Macaca mulatta: one gene and its partner. The protein of the gene in region 1 interacts with the protein of each later gene in a pairwise test. Links are inferred from orthologs where the notes say so. Each region holds a gene or a part of one and is shown in the gene's direction. Other genes may lie near its edges.

What was found. The genes of interacting proteins can lie anywhere in the genome.
Region 2: the proteins of USH1C (region 1) and USH1G interact in binary tests that used the Homo sapiens proteins (3 or more experiments, as listed by UniProt). The link is inferred for Macaca mulatta from reciprocal best matches to the Homo sapiens genes USH1C and USH1G.

Annotation. Positions count from the first base shown.
Region 1 is NC_133419.1:47,938,307-47,945,653, forward strand, and holds part of USH1C (harmonin), read left to right. Parts: intron 1-1,907; coding exon 1,908-2,016; intron 2,017-2,108; coding exon 2,109-2,133; intron 2,134-2,338; coding exon 2,339-2,396; intron 2,397-2,707; coding exon 2,708-2,802; intron 2,803-4,589; coding exon 4,590-4,674; intron 4,675-5,654; coding exon 5,655-5,714; intron 5,715-5,865; coding exon 5,866-5,922; intron 5,923-6,201; coding exon 6,202-6,344; intron 6,345-7,347. UniProt on the Homo sapiens protein: Anchoring/scaffolding protein that is a part of the functional network formed by USH1C, USH1G, CDH23 and MYO7A that mediates mechanotransduction in cochlear hair cells. Required for normal development and maintenance of cochlear hair cell bundles.
Region 2 is NC_133421.1:84,573,212-84,580,558, reverse strand, and holds part of USH1G (pre-mRNA splicing regulator USH1G), read left to right. Parts: intron 1-1,637; coding exon 1,638-2,859; 3' UTR 2,860-3,021; intron 3,022-4,239; coding exon of another isoform or gene 4,240-4,243; exon of another isoform or gene 4,244-6,212; intron 6,213-7,347. UniProt on the Homo sapiens protein: Plays a role in pre-mRNA splicing by regulating the release and transfer of U4/U6.U5 tri-small nuclear ribonucleoprotein (tri-snRNP) complexes from their assembly site in Cajal bodies to nuclear speckles, thereby contributing to the assembly of the pre-catalytic spliceosome on target pre-mRNAs.

The DNA of each region.
Region 1 (7,347 bases):
GGCCTAGAAAATTATTCTGTGTGCCTTGGTTGTCCCTGTCATAACATGGACAGTGTAATGCCTGCCTTTGTGTGGGACTTGAGGGCTCTGACAGGTGGCAAGGATCCAGAGAGGGCAGGATGCAGGGAATTGCAGCCAGGCTTGGCCGGGTGCCCGTCTTTTCTGCTTCCAGACACCTAGGAAACACCACTTGTCTATCAGGGAGACCTGACTTCAAACCCCACGACACTGTTTACTAGTGGGGTAACCTTGAGCAAGTCACTTTACCTCTCTGAGTCTCCGTTTTCTCATCTGATTAACAGAGATACAAATTCCTGACCTGCAGGGTTATCGTGAAAAATAGGTGGAAGGAGTTAGTCTGGCCACTGTCCTTGAATTAGATGTTCCCAGAAACCTAGAGGGTTCTTTAGTGTGCCCCCACTCTGGTGCCATTTTGAGCCCTTGGCCACTCCTGTCAGGTCCCTGAGAAGACTGGGGTCTGTGTCCCAGAGTGGGAAGGAAGCGTTCCTTGGAACAGTGAGAAAGTGACTCTGTGGGAGTGCTGTAGAAGGCAGGAGTTACCCTAGAGGACCCCTCGGAGGCTGTATGTCCACCCAGCCCCTACCTATCTCGGTCCACAGGGAGTCCAGCTTTCGTCCCTCACGTATGCCAGCAAGTCTCCAAAGGGTGAGCATGTGTGTTTTGAGTTAAGCCCCCAGCTGACCTGCACTGGCCTCAGACAGGAACCTCTCCAGGAGCCAGTCTCTGTTTTGCAGCTACTGGCTGTGTGACCTTGGACAAAACCTCACTTCCTTGGGCCTCAGTTTCAGCTGACATCTGAGAGTCCCTCCTGCTCTGTGGTTATTAAATGAGGAGCTCCAGAATTGATCCCCAGGGCCAGGGTGCCTGGAGGAGCCGGCAGTGTCCAGCAGGGGGCAACCTCACCACAGCGCTGTATCCAGGGCTGGCTGCCCAGGGCCGAGTCCCTATCTCACAATCCGCTGTGGCCTAAGCCCTGAGAAGAGAGATCTGAGCTGAGTATTCAGGGATCAGGACTAACTCATGATAACAATAACACTCATGTATTGAGTGCTTACTGTGTGCCAGGCACTAGCTGGCTTTACATGCACAAGTTCACTTAATTCTCACAGCAACCTTGGTATTCCTCATTTTACAGACGAGGAAAACAGGTTCAGAGAGTTCAAGAGACTTGCTCAAGGTCACATAGCTAATAATAATAAAAGAAGGGATTTGAACCCAGCACATCTGATGCCAAAGCCCTGTGCTCATCCACTGTTCTTTGCTTGCTCCCAAAATAGGAATTGAGAGGTCAGGGCCACGGCAGAGTTAAAATGTTCATCAAGTTTCCATATGGTGGGGAAAAAAAAATCGTGTGTGTGTGTGTGTGTGTGTCGGTGATGTGAGCTTGGGTCAGGAGTCACAGAAGGTCCCCACCCTGACTCACTTACAGTGTTGTAGCAATTAGCAGAAAAAGGGAGCCAACTTCCTAGGGGCGGGTTGGGACAAAGTCCCGGTAAGAACAGCTTAAAGCTGAGTGAAAGGTCACCCTTTGCATAGAATCCAGAATCTGATGGTGCCCCAGTGGAGTGAAAGGGGCACCAGGGTGAGGGTGCAGAGAGTTCTGAGATCTTCTCCCAGCTCTGCTGCACACCTGCTGTGCCCCTCACCTCTGTCTTGGTCTCTCCATCTGCAAAATGGGGCGGCAAGACTGCTTGGACATGCCACCTGAACCTGGGATCCCCCAGGCTGATGGAGGGTGGGTTGGTTGAGATCAAGGCTTATTCCAGGGGATGGCATGGCCACCCTTCCCTTTTCCGGATAGCAGTCTGGGAGCATCTGGTGGTGAGTCTGCCCCACTGCCTGATGCTCCCTCCAGCCAGTGCTCCCTGCCTCTCTCTGTGGTCAAGGTAGGGGACGAGATCGTCCGGATCAATGGATATTCCATCTCCTCCTGTACCCATGAGGAGGTCATCAACCTCATCCGAACCAAGAAAACTGTGTCCATCAAAGTGAGACGTGAGTGAGACTAGAGCAGGACAGGGCTCCATGATGGTGGGAGGGAGGGAGGGTGGAGGAGCTGTCCTAACCCCTGTGCCTTTCTCCCACAGACATTGGCCTGATCCCCGTGAAGAGGTGAGAGGCCCCTCCTCTGCAGGCCGACTCTTCCCTGTGGGCCCGGGGTCCTGGTACAGCCCTGGGGTCCAGCACTCACCATGCCAGCCCTGCTCCTGGGCCAGTGGAGGCTGGAGGTTGTAGACATGGTGGATCTGGATTTGGGGCCTGGTTCGTCAAACGTCTCTCGCTAACCACCCTTCCATCTATTTTCCCTTCCCATCAGCTCTCCTGATGAGCCCCTCAAGTGGCAGTATGTGGATCAGTTTGTGTCAGAATCTGGGGTAAGGGCCAGACCTCCTGTGATGGGGTTTGGGTGGGGTCATCTTCAAGGATGGGCGGCCAGTCCTAAAGGGAGGGCTTGCTCTAGAGATGCACTCTCAGGGACTTCACACAGGCCCCCAGGGCAGCCAGCACACTGCTGTGGGGCAGTGGCCCTCAGCCAGGCCAGGCTGGTGCAGACACATCCCCAGGGACAGAATGATGATCTGGCTGGTGTGAGTTCAGCAGTGCTCGCCCTGCAGGTCCCACGAGCTCAAGAGGCCGCTTGCACGCATGTGGACACTCAGAGATTCTGCTTCTATCTCCCTTTCAGGGGGGGCGAGGCAGCCTGGGCTCCCCTGGAAATCGGGAAAACAAGGAGAAGAAGGTCTTCATCAGCCTGGTGGGCTCCCGGGGCCTTGGCTGCAGGTGGGTGGTGGGCATGCCCCGGGGTCATTCGTGGCCAGTGCACCCCAGCAGGCCCCTATTACCCTCCCCTTCCTCACTGCTGCTTCTGAGGAAACCTTGCCCACCAGGGGTGTGACTTGTCCATGGGTGATGGTATTTTTTTGTTAGAGACAGGGTCTGGCTCTGTCACCTGGGCTGGAGTGCAATGGCGTGATCATAGCTCACTGTAGCCTCGACCTCCCCAGCTCAAGCAATCCTCCCACCTCAGCCTCCTGAGTAGCTGGGTCTACAGAAACACACCATGACACCCAGCTAACTTTTAATTTTTTTGTAGAGAAGGAGTTTTGTTATGTTGCCAAGGCTGGTCTCAAATTCCTGGGCTCAAATGATCCTCCCACCTCAGCCTCCCGGAGTGCTGGGATTAGAGGCATGAAGCACCGCGCCCAGCCTTGGTGATGACACTTCCTGGTGCCTGATTTCCCCTCTGAATTTCACGACAGGCCTGTAGGGCCCGAGGGGCATCTCTAATAGATCCCAGTTTACGGATAAAGAAATTGAGGCCTAGAGGCAGAACCATGTTACCTTGTAGGTCCTTGAGTCACTGCAAAAGGAGCCTGTTCAGCTGGTCATCTCTGTCACAGTTCTCTTATCACTTATTACCTTGTCGGCTTCGTTAAGAGGCAGACGGGGAATCCAAACAGATACTGGGCCACACGGGGCTCAAGCGTGCAGGTTCCACCGTTACTCAGATCCCAGTTCCAGCCCTGCTTTCCTACTTAAGAGCTCTGGAACCTTGGGCCAGTTACTTAACCACTTGGAGCCTCAGTTTCTCCCTCTATAAATTGATGATAATAATTCCCACATCACAGGGTGATTGTGGAGAAAGTAAAGTACCAAGCTTAGTACCTGCTAAACAGTAAGCAGTTGGTAAATACTAGCTGTTATGATTTGAGTTATTCCTCTTCTTTCCCTTCATTCACATTTATTCCATGTTTTGTGCCAAGCATAAGTGATAAAGAGTCCCTCCCTTCTGGGAGACAAGAGCCTAATCTAGAAGCCAACCACATAAACAGTTATAATATAGGGTGATAGGGACTCAAATGGAACTACATTCTGTGTCCGGGATGGCAAATAGGTGCCATCTCTAATCAATTAGTAGGAGCTCCCTGGAGTGCTGCTTTGAAAAGGATTCTAAAGCTATATCCAGGCTTGAGGGAAAGAGTGCTGTGATCAGTGAGTGATTTCTGCCACCAATCTAGGAAGGAATAATAACAGTACATGTGCCATTCCTGTCGTAAATGTCATAGGAGCACTGAGAACCGAGCAAATAGCTTGGTCTTGGGATAGAATAAGGGATCTGAGCCAGGCATGGTGGTGTGCACCTGTAGTCGTAGCTAGTCAAGAGGTTGAGGTGGGAGGATTGCTTGAGCCCAGGAGTTGGAGGCTGTGGAGAGCTATGATCACACCACTGCACTCCAACCTGGGTGACAGAGCAAGACCCTGTCTCTAAAAAATAAATTTTTTAAAAAAGAGGATCTGCTGAAAACCTTATAGAAGGGATAGCATTTGGTTCTTAAGGAATGGACAGGAAAGCGTTAGAAAGAAAAAAGAAACAACATATGAGGTATATTAGGTGAGAGATTGGGTAGGAAGAATTACAAGGAGTTTTCTGTGGCTGTTGCCCAGGGTAGCAGTAGAAATCAGGCTGGACGGGGAGACAGAGGCTGAAGAGGTAGGCAGCCGAGGGCCTTCAGTCCTGAGTTCATGAGTGACCTGTATCCTAAGCACACATTTCCCACCTCCCACAGCATTTCCAGCGGCCCCATCCAGAAGCCTGGCATCTTCATCAGCCACGTGAAACCTGGCTCCCTGTCTGCTGAGGTGGGATTGGAGGTGAGTGACGCTGGGCCGGCCCCAGTGGGGGCCCACTGGAAACTGGGTCAGACTGTGATCCCGCGGTGACAGGGGCAGGTGCCTTTCCACATGGCCCTCTTTCGGCGGTCACTGATCAGGAGGAGCCCTACCCACCCTGCAGAGAAGGCTTCACAGAGTGGGGACATTTGACCCTTCTGCAGCCTTCCATAGCTCTGATGGTTGTTGGTCGTGAGCTTGGGAATGTCATAATGATAATCAAAGAGCGGACCTTCAGGGTCCACTTGCATCGGACATTGTTCCACGCCCTTTACACTTCACAAGAACGCTGAGGATTAAGTGCCACCATTATCCCCACTTTACATATGAGGAAACTGAGACCCAGAGAAAGTATATGATTTTTCTGAAATCATGTACCTAGCATGGTAGGACTGGAATTCAAACCTAGGTGGTCTCATCCCAAAGCAGGAACCCTTAACCTCTTCTTTGGACAAGTTACTTCATGTCTCTGTGCTTCAGTTTCCTTACCTATAAGATGGGGATAATAAAGCCTTTCTTCCAAGGTTGTTGTGTGGGTTAAAGTAGTTAATATGTATACTAGAACTGTGCCAAGCACACTGTAAGTGATCAGTGAATGTTAGCTATTCTGTTATGATGATTCAACACAGCCTCTGCTAAATGAGAAGCTCAAAAGTTTCCGCATCTACAAACTGTGATTTCTAAAGCAAGTGTCATCAAATTTAGCCAAAAAAAGAACATGTAATGGTATAATATTTGATAGTTGATAAGGTAGTTATGAAGTAGGGGAGTGCCAGGGTCAGCTTTAAGCCCTCCCAGAGCTCCACCAGAGCTTTCCAACTGCTCCATTCATCAGGAGGAACTGAGGTACAGCCACTTGAAGACCCAGCATCTGACCCAGAACCCCTGGGGGCGCCCATCCTGCAGATGAACGAGTGTACAGATAGCGTAAACACACTAATCTTTTTCCACTTCCCCACCAGACAGGGGACCAGATTGTCGAAGTGAATGGCATCGACTTCTCTAACCTGGACCACAAGGAGGTGAGATGTAGGGGTCTTCACCTGCTGGCCTTTGTCATCTCCACACCCCACTTCTCACCCCCACCACCCTGAAGCCTGGGGCCTTCTGTGCTCTCTGCCTGGACTGCTCTGGTCTGTCAGGCCTCGATCCACTGTCCTTCTGTCCCCACAGGCTGTGAACGTGCTGAAGAGTAGCCGCAGCCTGACCATCTCCATCGTAGCTGGAGCTGTAAGTCCAGAACGAGCTGGTGGGAGCCCCTTGACCCTCATCCCCAGCCCCTCTGACCTTTGATCTCTGCCACACACTCCCAGGGTGGCAGGTCTCCTTCCCTGAAGCTCTGACAGAGCAGACGGAGGGAGAGGACTTCTGCCCAGCAACAAGTTTGGGTCAGGGATTGCAGGAGCCACTGTGCCTGATGGTGCTGAGAAGACCACCTGCATCTCGGCCCCCAAGGGTGTGGCAGGGGATCCCCAGGGGCTGAGCAAGGGGCCTCTTTTCTCCCACGAGGGCCGGGAGCTGTTCATGACAGACCGGGAGCGGCTGGCAGAGGCGCGGCAGCGTGAGCTGCAGCGGCAAGAGCTCCTCATGCAGAAGCGGCTGGCGATGGAGTCCAACAAGATCCTCCAGGAGCAGCAGGAGATGGAGCGGCAGTGAGTGCAGCCAGCCCTGGGTGCCCTGCCCCACCATACAACCCCACCTAGCTTGTGTCCTGCCTGCTGTGTCCCCAGCTAATTTCCTCCTCCTCCCTGGAGGCCAGTCCTCAGACCAGATGAGTTTGGTGGTGGGTCAGTGTATCCATCCTTGGCCCCTTCCTCCTTGCTGAGCAGAGACCCCTGACTTCCAAGATTCCAAGAATGTGGAAAATAAGCATCCTACTAGCAGTAGGCTCTAGCTAGCTAGGATTAGCTACTAGCTAACATTTGTCAAGTACCTCTATAAGGCTGGCGTTGTATTAGGGCCTTGTTTATGTTTCTTAATTCCTACAATAGCCCTGGGAGGTAGAGGTAGAGAGTATTAACCCCATTTTACAGGTGTGGAGACTGACACTCAGAGAGGTGAAGCCACTTGTGTCCAAAGTCACACGTGGCCAAGCTGGGATCACCCCCAGGCAATCTGGCAAGTCCCCACAGGGCTGCCCTGCCTATAGTGATAAAGCTCGTCCCTGTCCAGGACGATTGAAATGATGACCTAAGAGAATAAATGGGGTGATCAATTCATAAATCAAAAACTACTGTCAAGATCCAAACCCAAATACATTCTAGGCATTTAAAAGTATTTCATGGCTAGACGTGGTGGCTCACACCCTGTAATCCCAGCACTTTGGGAGGTCAAGGCCAGCAGATCATTCGAGGTCAGGAGTTCGAGACCAGCCTGGCCAACATGGTGAAATCGTGTCTCTACTAAAAATACAAAAAAATTAGCTGGACATGGTGGCATGCGACTGTAATCCCAGCTTCTCAGGAGGCTGAGGCACAAGCATCACTTGAACCTGGGAGGCAGAGGTTGCAGTGAGCCGAGATCGCACCACTGAACTCCTGGGTGCAAAGTGAGACTTTGTCTCAATCAATCAATGTATTTTGAAAAGGAAAGAGGAAAGGCTGTCCCCATCTCCCCCATCACAGAGTTAGCTGGGAGTATTCCGCCTGGCTAGGA
Region 2 (7,347 bases), on another chromosome or scaffold:
TGGTCACCCTGAAGGGGCCTCTCTCCCCTCCCCCTCCCTTTGGAGTTGTCCTAGGGCGAGGGGTGGGCATAGAGTGCAGGTGTCAGCGCCAGGGAAGGGGCCTGGAGGTGGCAGTTAAGCCACCTCCAGGACTAGAGCCACTGACATGGGTTCCTTGGGGCTAAAGTCAAATGACTGTGACCAACTCCCTCAGCCCCAATGGCTTTATAAAGAGGAGTCAGGTTGGTCTGAACACCAGGGCGGCCTGGACAGGATGAGGGGTGGACAGGACACCCCAGGAGGGTTGATATGAAGTCTCAGGTCATGGGAGAGAGGGCTGGGGCCCAGGCACTGGCCTATGGCCTGATCATGTAGTGGGTGCTGGAGACCCCTCCCTCTTGCCCCCTCCTTGGGCTGCTCCTTGGGCCCAGCATCAGGTGGGAGCAGCCTCGAAGCCTGGGCAGCTGAGCCATGTCCCGGGAGGCCAAGGCTGACTGGCCCCTCCTCATCCCAGGAGAGCACACAGTGACACTGTCCCCTGCCATCCCTTCAGAGAGGCTCATGGGAGGAAGGGAGAAGGGGAAGAGGTCTCCCCTTGGGTATGCCAAGCCCCAACTCCTCCAGAGACCAGGATTGGTGTTTGATGGGGTGTGGGTCGGGTGCTGGCAGGCCCTTCCCACACTGGCCTGTAGGACTTGGTGGCCAGGAGGGGAGGCCCAGGAGGGAGTGTGTGAGGAGCTGTTGAGACAAGGGAGTGATTCTTCCCCCAGCCCTGGGGGTTGGCCTCGTGGCCTCATTAGTGCAGGGCAGGGGTGCTGTGCTGGGCCCCCAGGGGAGGGAGAGCTCCGGAGGAGTCTTGGGAGCTTGCCCTGAGGGACACAGTCTGGTGTGAGGGGTGCTTGTGGGGGCTGTCAGGGGTCCTGGACAGGCTCAAGTGAGACAGCCTTGAAGGGATAACAAAGAGGGGGCAGCCTGGGGAAGGGAGGGCTTCCGAGCGCAGGCAGCTGATTTCCCTCCTCCTCCCCTCCAGTCCTGGCTGCCCCCGCACTCCCCTCCTGGCCCAGGCCAAGGCCCGACACTTCCTCTCACACTCGGGCTTGCCAGGGCTGGCCCTGCTCCCTGCAGACAGGGCCCTGCCTGCTGACACACAAGCCCACACCTCACACACGCTAACCCGGGGCTGGGGCCCGGTACACATCACCCTCTGGTCTGTTCTCTTTTACGGTCACTCGGCACACGCAGCCACACTCACCACCATGCCTGCCTAGAGACCCAGACGCGGCCCTGGCCCCCCAGTGCTCTGGCCAGCTCTGTGCTGGGCCTCATGAATAATTTACTCCCTTCTCTCAGGGCATCAAATATTTATCCCCTGAGATTCCCAGTCCTCAGTTAGCTTGGGGAAGGTCCCGCCCCAGTCCCGCCTTCTCTGACACCCCACCCCCTGCACACCTGGGGCCATTTTCCCCTGGACTCACCCCTGGGCTCACCTGTTGGGTGGCTCAGGCCTGCAGGTCTCCTGGAGTCGAAGAGGTCTCAGGCCCACGGTCCCTTTGGGGGTTGCTGTGACAGTGGGGGAGCTCCCTTCCCCCCTCCACTCCCTCCACCTCCATCCCCAGCCAGGACTCGTCACTAGTCCCTCCTGGATGCTTTCCCTGCAGGGGTGACCCGGACAAGTGTGACATCTGGGGCAACACACCCCTGCATCTGGCAGCTTCCAATGGCCACTTGCACTGCCTGTCCTTCCTGGTGTCCTTCGGGGCCAACATCTGGTGCCTAGACAACGACTACCACACGCCGCTGGACATGGCTGCCATGAAGGGCCACATGGAATGCGTGCGCTACCTGGACTCCATCGCGGCCAAGCAGAGCAGCCTCAACCCCAAGCTAGTGGGTAAGCTGAAGGACAAGGCCTTCCGCGAGGCGGAGCGGCGCATCCGCGAGTGCGCCAAGCTGCAGCGCAAGCACCACGAACGCATGGAGCGGCGCTACCGGCGCGAGCTGGCCGAGCGCTCCGACACCCTCAGTTTCTCCAGCCTCACGTCCAGCACCCTGAGCCGCCGGCTGCAGCACCTGGCGCTGGGCAGCCACCTGCCGTACTCGCAGGCCACGCTGCACGGCACGGCCAGGGGCAAGACCAAGATGCAGAAGAAGCTGGAGCGGCGCAAGCAGGGCGGCGAAGGCACTTTCAAAGTCTCCGAGGATGGGCGCAAGAGCGCCCGCTCGCTCTCGGGCCTGCAGCTGGGCAACGACGTGATGTTCGTGCGCCAGGGCACCTACGCCAATCCCAAGGAGTGGGGCCGAGCCCCGCTCCGGGACATGTTCCTCTCGGACGAGGACAGCGTCTCCCGTGCCACGCTGGCAGCCGAGCCTGCCCACTCGGAGGTCAGCACCGACTCAGGCCACGACTCCCTCTTTACCCGCCCCGGCCTGGGCACCATGGTGTTCCGCAGAAATTACTTGAGCAGTGGGCTGCACGGACTGGGCCGCGAGGATGGGGGGCTGGACGGGATGGGAGCGCCTCGGGGTCGGCTGCAGAGCTCCCCTAGCCTGGACGATGACAGCCTGGGCAGTGCCAACAGCCTGCAGGACCGCAGCTGTGGGGAGGAGCTGCCCTGGGACGAGCTGGACTTAGGCTTGGACGAGGACCTGGAGCCCGAGACCGGCCCGCTGGAGACCTTTCTGGCCTCTCTGCACATGGAGGACTTTGCCGCCCTCCTGCGGCAGGAGAAGATTGACCTCGAGGCTCTGATGCTATGTTCTGACCTCGACCTCCGCAGCATCAGCGTCCCCCTGGGGCCCCGAAAGAAGATCTTGGGGGCCGTGAGGAGGCGGCGGCAGGCGATGGAGCGCCCACCGGCCCTGGAGGACACAGAGCTGTGAGTGTCCAGCCTGGCAGGGGGATGGAGGAACAGGAGTTGGAAGGCCCCTGGGGAGGGAGTACAGATCTGCCTATTCAGGAGTAGGGGGTGGGGGCTACTGTATTTCATAAAATCGAAATGGGGCCATCGATGATAAAAGGCCCCCTTATTTTATTTACCACCAGCTCAGAAAAAGAAGTTGCCAATTTAATGATGACCCAAGGCATTCTTATCACAGCTAGTGTAAAGTGCACCTCGATTTTGGGGACATCAACATGTGGGGAAATGGTCCTCTTAGTGTCACCGAGTTTCAACAGTCACGGGAATCACAGTTGGGGTGTTTTTGAGCCCTCCCACCTCCCAGGTGCTGGGTTGTGCCCTTGAACAAGTTCTCTTGCTTAATCCCTCTAAAAGCCCGTGTGCCCGGACTGTATTGGTGGATTATATCGTTCCCATTTTATAGCGGATGAGCAAGTGGAGGCTCAGACAGTTAGAATAGCTCACCTCAAGGTCCTGCTGCTGCTCAACATGGAGCTGGGCTTGATCCCTGGTCTGCATGGCTTTAGAGCCTGGGGTCAAGGTGGCTCCCATGGGATGCAGGGCTTGCAGTCAGCAGGGCCTCTCAGTTGCCCAAGACCTCAGGCAGATTTTTTTTTTTTTTTTTTTTTTTTTTTTTAAGACAGTTTCCCTCTTGTTGCCCAGGCTGGAGTGCAGTGGCACAATCTCAGTTCACTGCAACCTCCACCTCCCGGGTTCACGAAATTCTCCTGCCTCAGCCTCCTGAGTAGCTGGGATTACAGGGGTGCACTACCATGCCCAGCTAATTTTTGTATTTTTAGTAGAGATGTGGTTTTGCCATGTTGGCCAGGCTTATCTCGAACTTCTGACCTCAGGTGATCTGTCCACTTCGGCCTCCCAAAGTGCTGGGATTACAGGCGTGAGCCACCGCGCCCGGCTTTAGGCAGATGTTTTACCTGCTATTCCTGAACTCTGCAACCAGGAACGTGGGCAAATGCTCCCAAATGCTCTGGAGGCAGAGTTCATGTTCCAAAGCCCGTCATAGTTGGCCAAGGCCGCTGCCACAATGGTCATGCTGTGGCCAGCCCCTGCCCTGGCCCCTCCCCTGCAGCATCCCACAAGCCCAACAAATGCTGTCCTCATTTCCTCTTAGGTATCTATGGCCTTTATCCTGAGTGGCTGGGGCAGGGAGGGTGTGGGGAGGCAGGCTGGTTTAGAGTTTTGGGGATGGGGAGGTCACCCGTAGGCTGGCATCCTCCATCCCTGACCATCAACCTGCTGAGAGATGGGAAGGCTAAGTTGTCCAGATGGCTGTCCTGGGTGAAAATGATGCCTCTAAAGGACCTCACGTGAAATCTGTTTCTTTCTGTCTCTTCCTCCACAGATAACGGGGGGCTCCTCTCCCCAGACCAAAATGAATTGCAAGTTGCCACAACCTGTGGTGGGGCCTCAAGGTCCTCACAGTCGCCAGTCCTGCAGCCCCCTTCCCCAGGAGCAAGGACCACGTGGGTCGACTCCTTTGAAAGGCTGTCCACACCTTGAAGCAGAGGGTGTAGCCTGGAGGCACCAGAGGGGCAAGAGAATGTCCCCTCCAGTTCTGAGGGGTCACAAAGGCCCTGAGCCACCCATTCTGAGCAGCCCTAAAGGACATGTATACTTGGGGGAGGCTTACCCCAGAGGGAGGGCAGGGGCATGGAACTGGATGGGAGTGTGGGAGGTGAATGCCGGAGGGCATGCCTGTCCCGGGCCCCTCCCCTGATGGTCTTGTTCTCTTGTGCTCAGGCCGGAGAGTTGCTCACTTCCTGCATTTTTGTGAAGGGAAGAGTTTGGGCTGCCTCCCCTCTTCCAGTCCACCCCAGAGGGGAAGTTCCTCAGCCAGACTCTTCAGCCAAATGCCCCAACTTTCAGTCTGCACCCATTCCAAGCACAGCCAGCATCCCCTCCTTCAGCCAGTGGCCAAGGCCCGGAGCTGGAGAGCCAGGCTGGGGGTACTGACGCCCTTCCCAGCTCATCCAGGGATGGAGCCTGGCCTGTCTTCCTCCAGCCTCCCGCTTTTTCATTGTGCAGCCTGGCCCCGCCAGGGACCCCAGAGGGCCAGGGCACTAGATGCAAGGTGCTAGACCAACAGGCTGCAGTGTTATAGCCCCCAGGCCTGGCAGGCATGCGCTGGGCCAGAGAAAGGTGTCTGCCAACCTCCTCAGTCTCCCAGGCCTGGGACAGGCAGAACAGGGTGTGGCTGGGTGTTGGGCCTGGGTTGGGTAAGTCCTGCGATATGGACACTGGAGAAAGTGGATAATCTAAACTGCAGATTATCCCCAGGTCACCAGGGCTGTGTGTGTGCGTGTATGCATGTGTGTGCGTGCATGTGTGTGTACGTGTGTGGTGTGTGTGTGCTTGTGTGTGTGTTCTTGCGTACGTGTGCACGCACATGCATGTGTGTGTGCGTGCATGTGTGCGCACGTGTTTGTGTTTATGCATGTGTGTGCATGTGTGCGCGTGTTTGTGTGTGTTTATGCATGTGTGTGCATGCGTGCACATGTGTGTGTGTTTATGCGTGTGTGTGTGCATGCGTGCGTGTGTGCGCGCTCACCTTGGGTGTTGTTTGGTAAGTTTCCCTCTTTACCAAAGAGGGGCTGGGCTGCTGGATCGGGGCTAAGGGAGAGCTCGCCTGTGTCCCAGCCCTGTGATGGTGAGACCAGGGGAAAGGCCAGCTCAGAGGGTGGTCAGAGCATGTGTCCTCAGACATGTGCCCCCAGAGCTCTCCAGCCAGACCGAGGTCACAGATATGGGAGAGTCCCTCAGGAGCCCGCTGACATGTGTGTGCCCCTTCGCACCCCATGCAGAGGTGCTCTCCTCCTTCCTCAGCCATGGCCCCCCATCCCTGACCTCAGCTTGGGAAGCAGCTCCTGCTGGGAGCATGGCCATAGTCCCCAGCTCCTCCCGGGGCCCCCTTGGCTGGGGTAGGGGAAAGAGAGCCCTCAAAGGCCTCTTTTTGGTCTGTCCGGGGGTTCCCATTCCCATATACATGCCCAGAGTGGAGGCATGGAGGAGATGGTCCCTGTCCTATTGCAGGACACTGAGGGCTTGGCTGCCTGCCACTGCTATCTGGAGCCCACCGCAGTGCTTCTCCCTGTTCTCTGGGCCTGAGCCTGGGGCCACCCCCAAGTGCCGACTTGTTTTTCCCAGAGCCCCAGGTGCTGCCCCTTCTCTCCCATTCCTTGTCCATTTACTGCCGCAGCCCCTCCTGATTCTAGCCAGTGCTGGGGTGGAGCAGGCTCTGTGTGCCCACCACTGTAGCCCGAATCCCTCCTGCAGGCTCATTACCACTTTTGTAGAGAATGTTCTCCACCAGTGTCATGCCTGTGTCTTGTCCTTTAATGCTTTGGGTATGAAGAGTGGGGGGTGGGGGTGGGGCGGGAGGGGTCTTCTCTGTGCTTGTGAGGACTGGGTCCTGGGCCCTGTTCTCTGGAGTGTCTTCGAGCCCCCATGCTATGCATCTTTGAAGAGATCCCTAGGCCTTTACCCTGCTCTCCTAGCTCAGTCCAGAATGAGGAGCTGGTGGAGAGGCAGGGCTGAGAACTAGGGCAGGAGAGTCCCCCCGAGCAAGGAGGATGACTGAGCCTCCAGGCTTGTTGCCAGGGTCTGCAGCTGTGGAGGGCAGGAGGGTGCGTGTTCTCTCTTCCCACCAAGGCCTGCCTGGGCTTTTCCAGAGATGGGCAGAAACGTACTCCAGGAGGCTGCCGCCCGTCACCTGGGCTCTGGGCCTCCAGAGGGGTCTCCATGAGGGCCCTCCGGAGGCCCAGAGGGGTCTCCATGTCCCACATCACCACAGGCAGCTCATGGGCAGCCTGATTTGAAGCCCTGCTTTCTCCCAGGGGTGAGTCCCCTCTGTAAGCTGGTGCCTAGTGGGCTCTGTTTTCTCAGTCACGTCTGAGGAAGGGCCCTGGAGTAATCTTGCTCCATTGCCTAAGGCTGCTGGGCGAATTTTTTCTGCCAAAGGGAGTTCAAGACAGTTCCCTTCCCCCAGCATCAATCAGAAAGGTCCCCAGGATGTTGATGCAGCAAAGTTGCCTAGCAACCATCCAGGGGTTCCAAGCCACCTCCCTCCACTTTACAGATGAAAAAACTGAGGCCCGGCCGGGCGCGGTGGCTCAAGCCTGTAATCCCAGCACTTTGGGAGGCCGAGACGGGTGGATCACGAGGTCAGGAGATCGAGACCATCCTGGCTAACACGGTGAAACCCCGTCTCTACTAAAAATACAAAAAAAACTTAGCCGGGCGCGGTGGCGGGCGCCTGTAGTCCCAGCTACTCGGGAGGCTGAGGCAGGAGAATGGCGTGAACCCGGGAGGCGGAGCTTGCAGTGAGCTGAGATCCAGCCACTGCACTCCAGCCTGGGTGACAGAGCGAGACTCCGTCTCAAAAAAAAAAAAAAAAAAAGAAAAAGAAAAAACTGAGGCCCACAGAGGGGAAGAGTCAGACCCAAAATGCGAG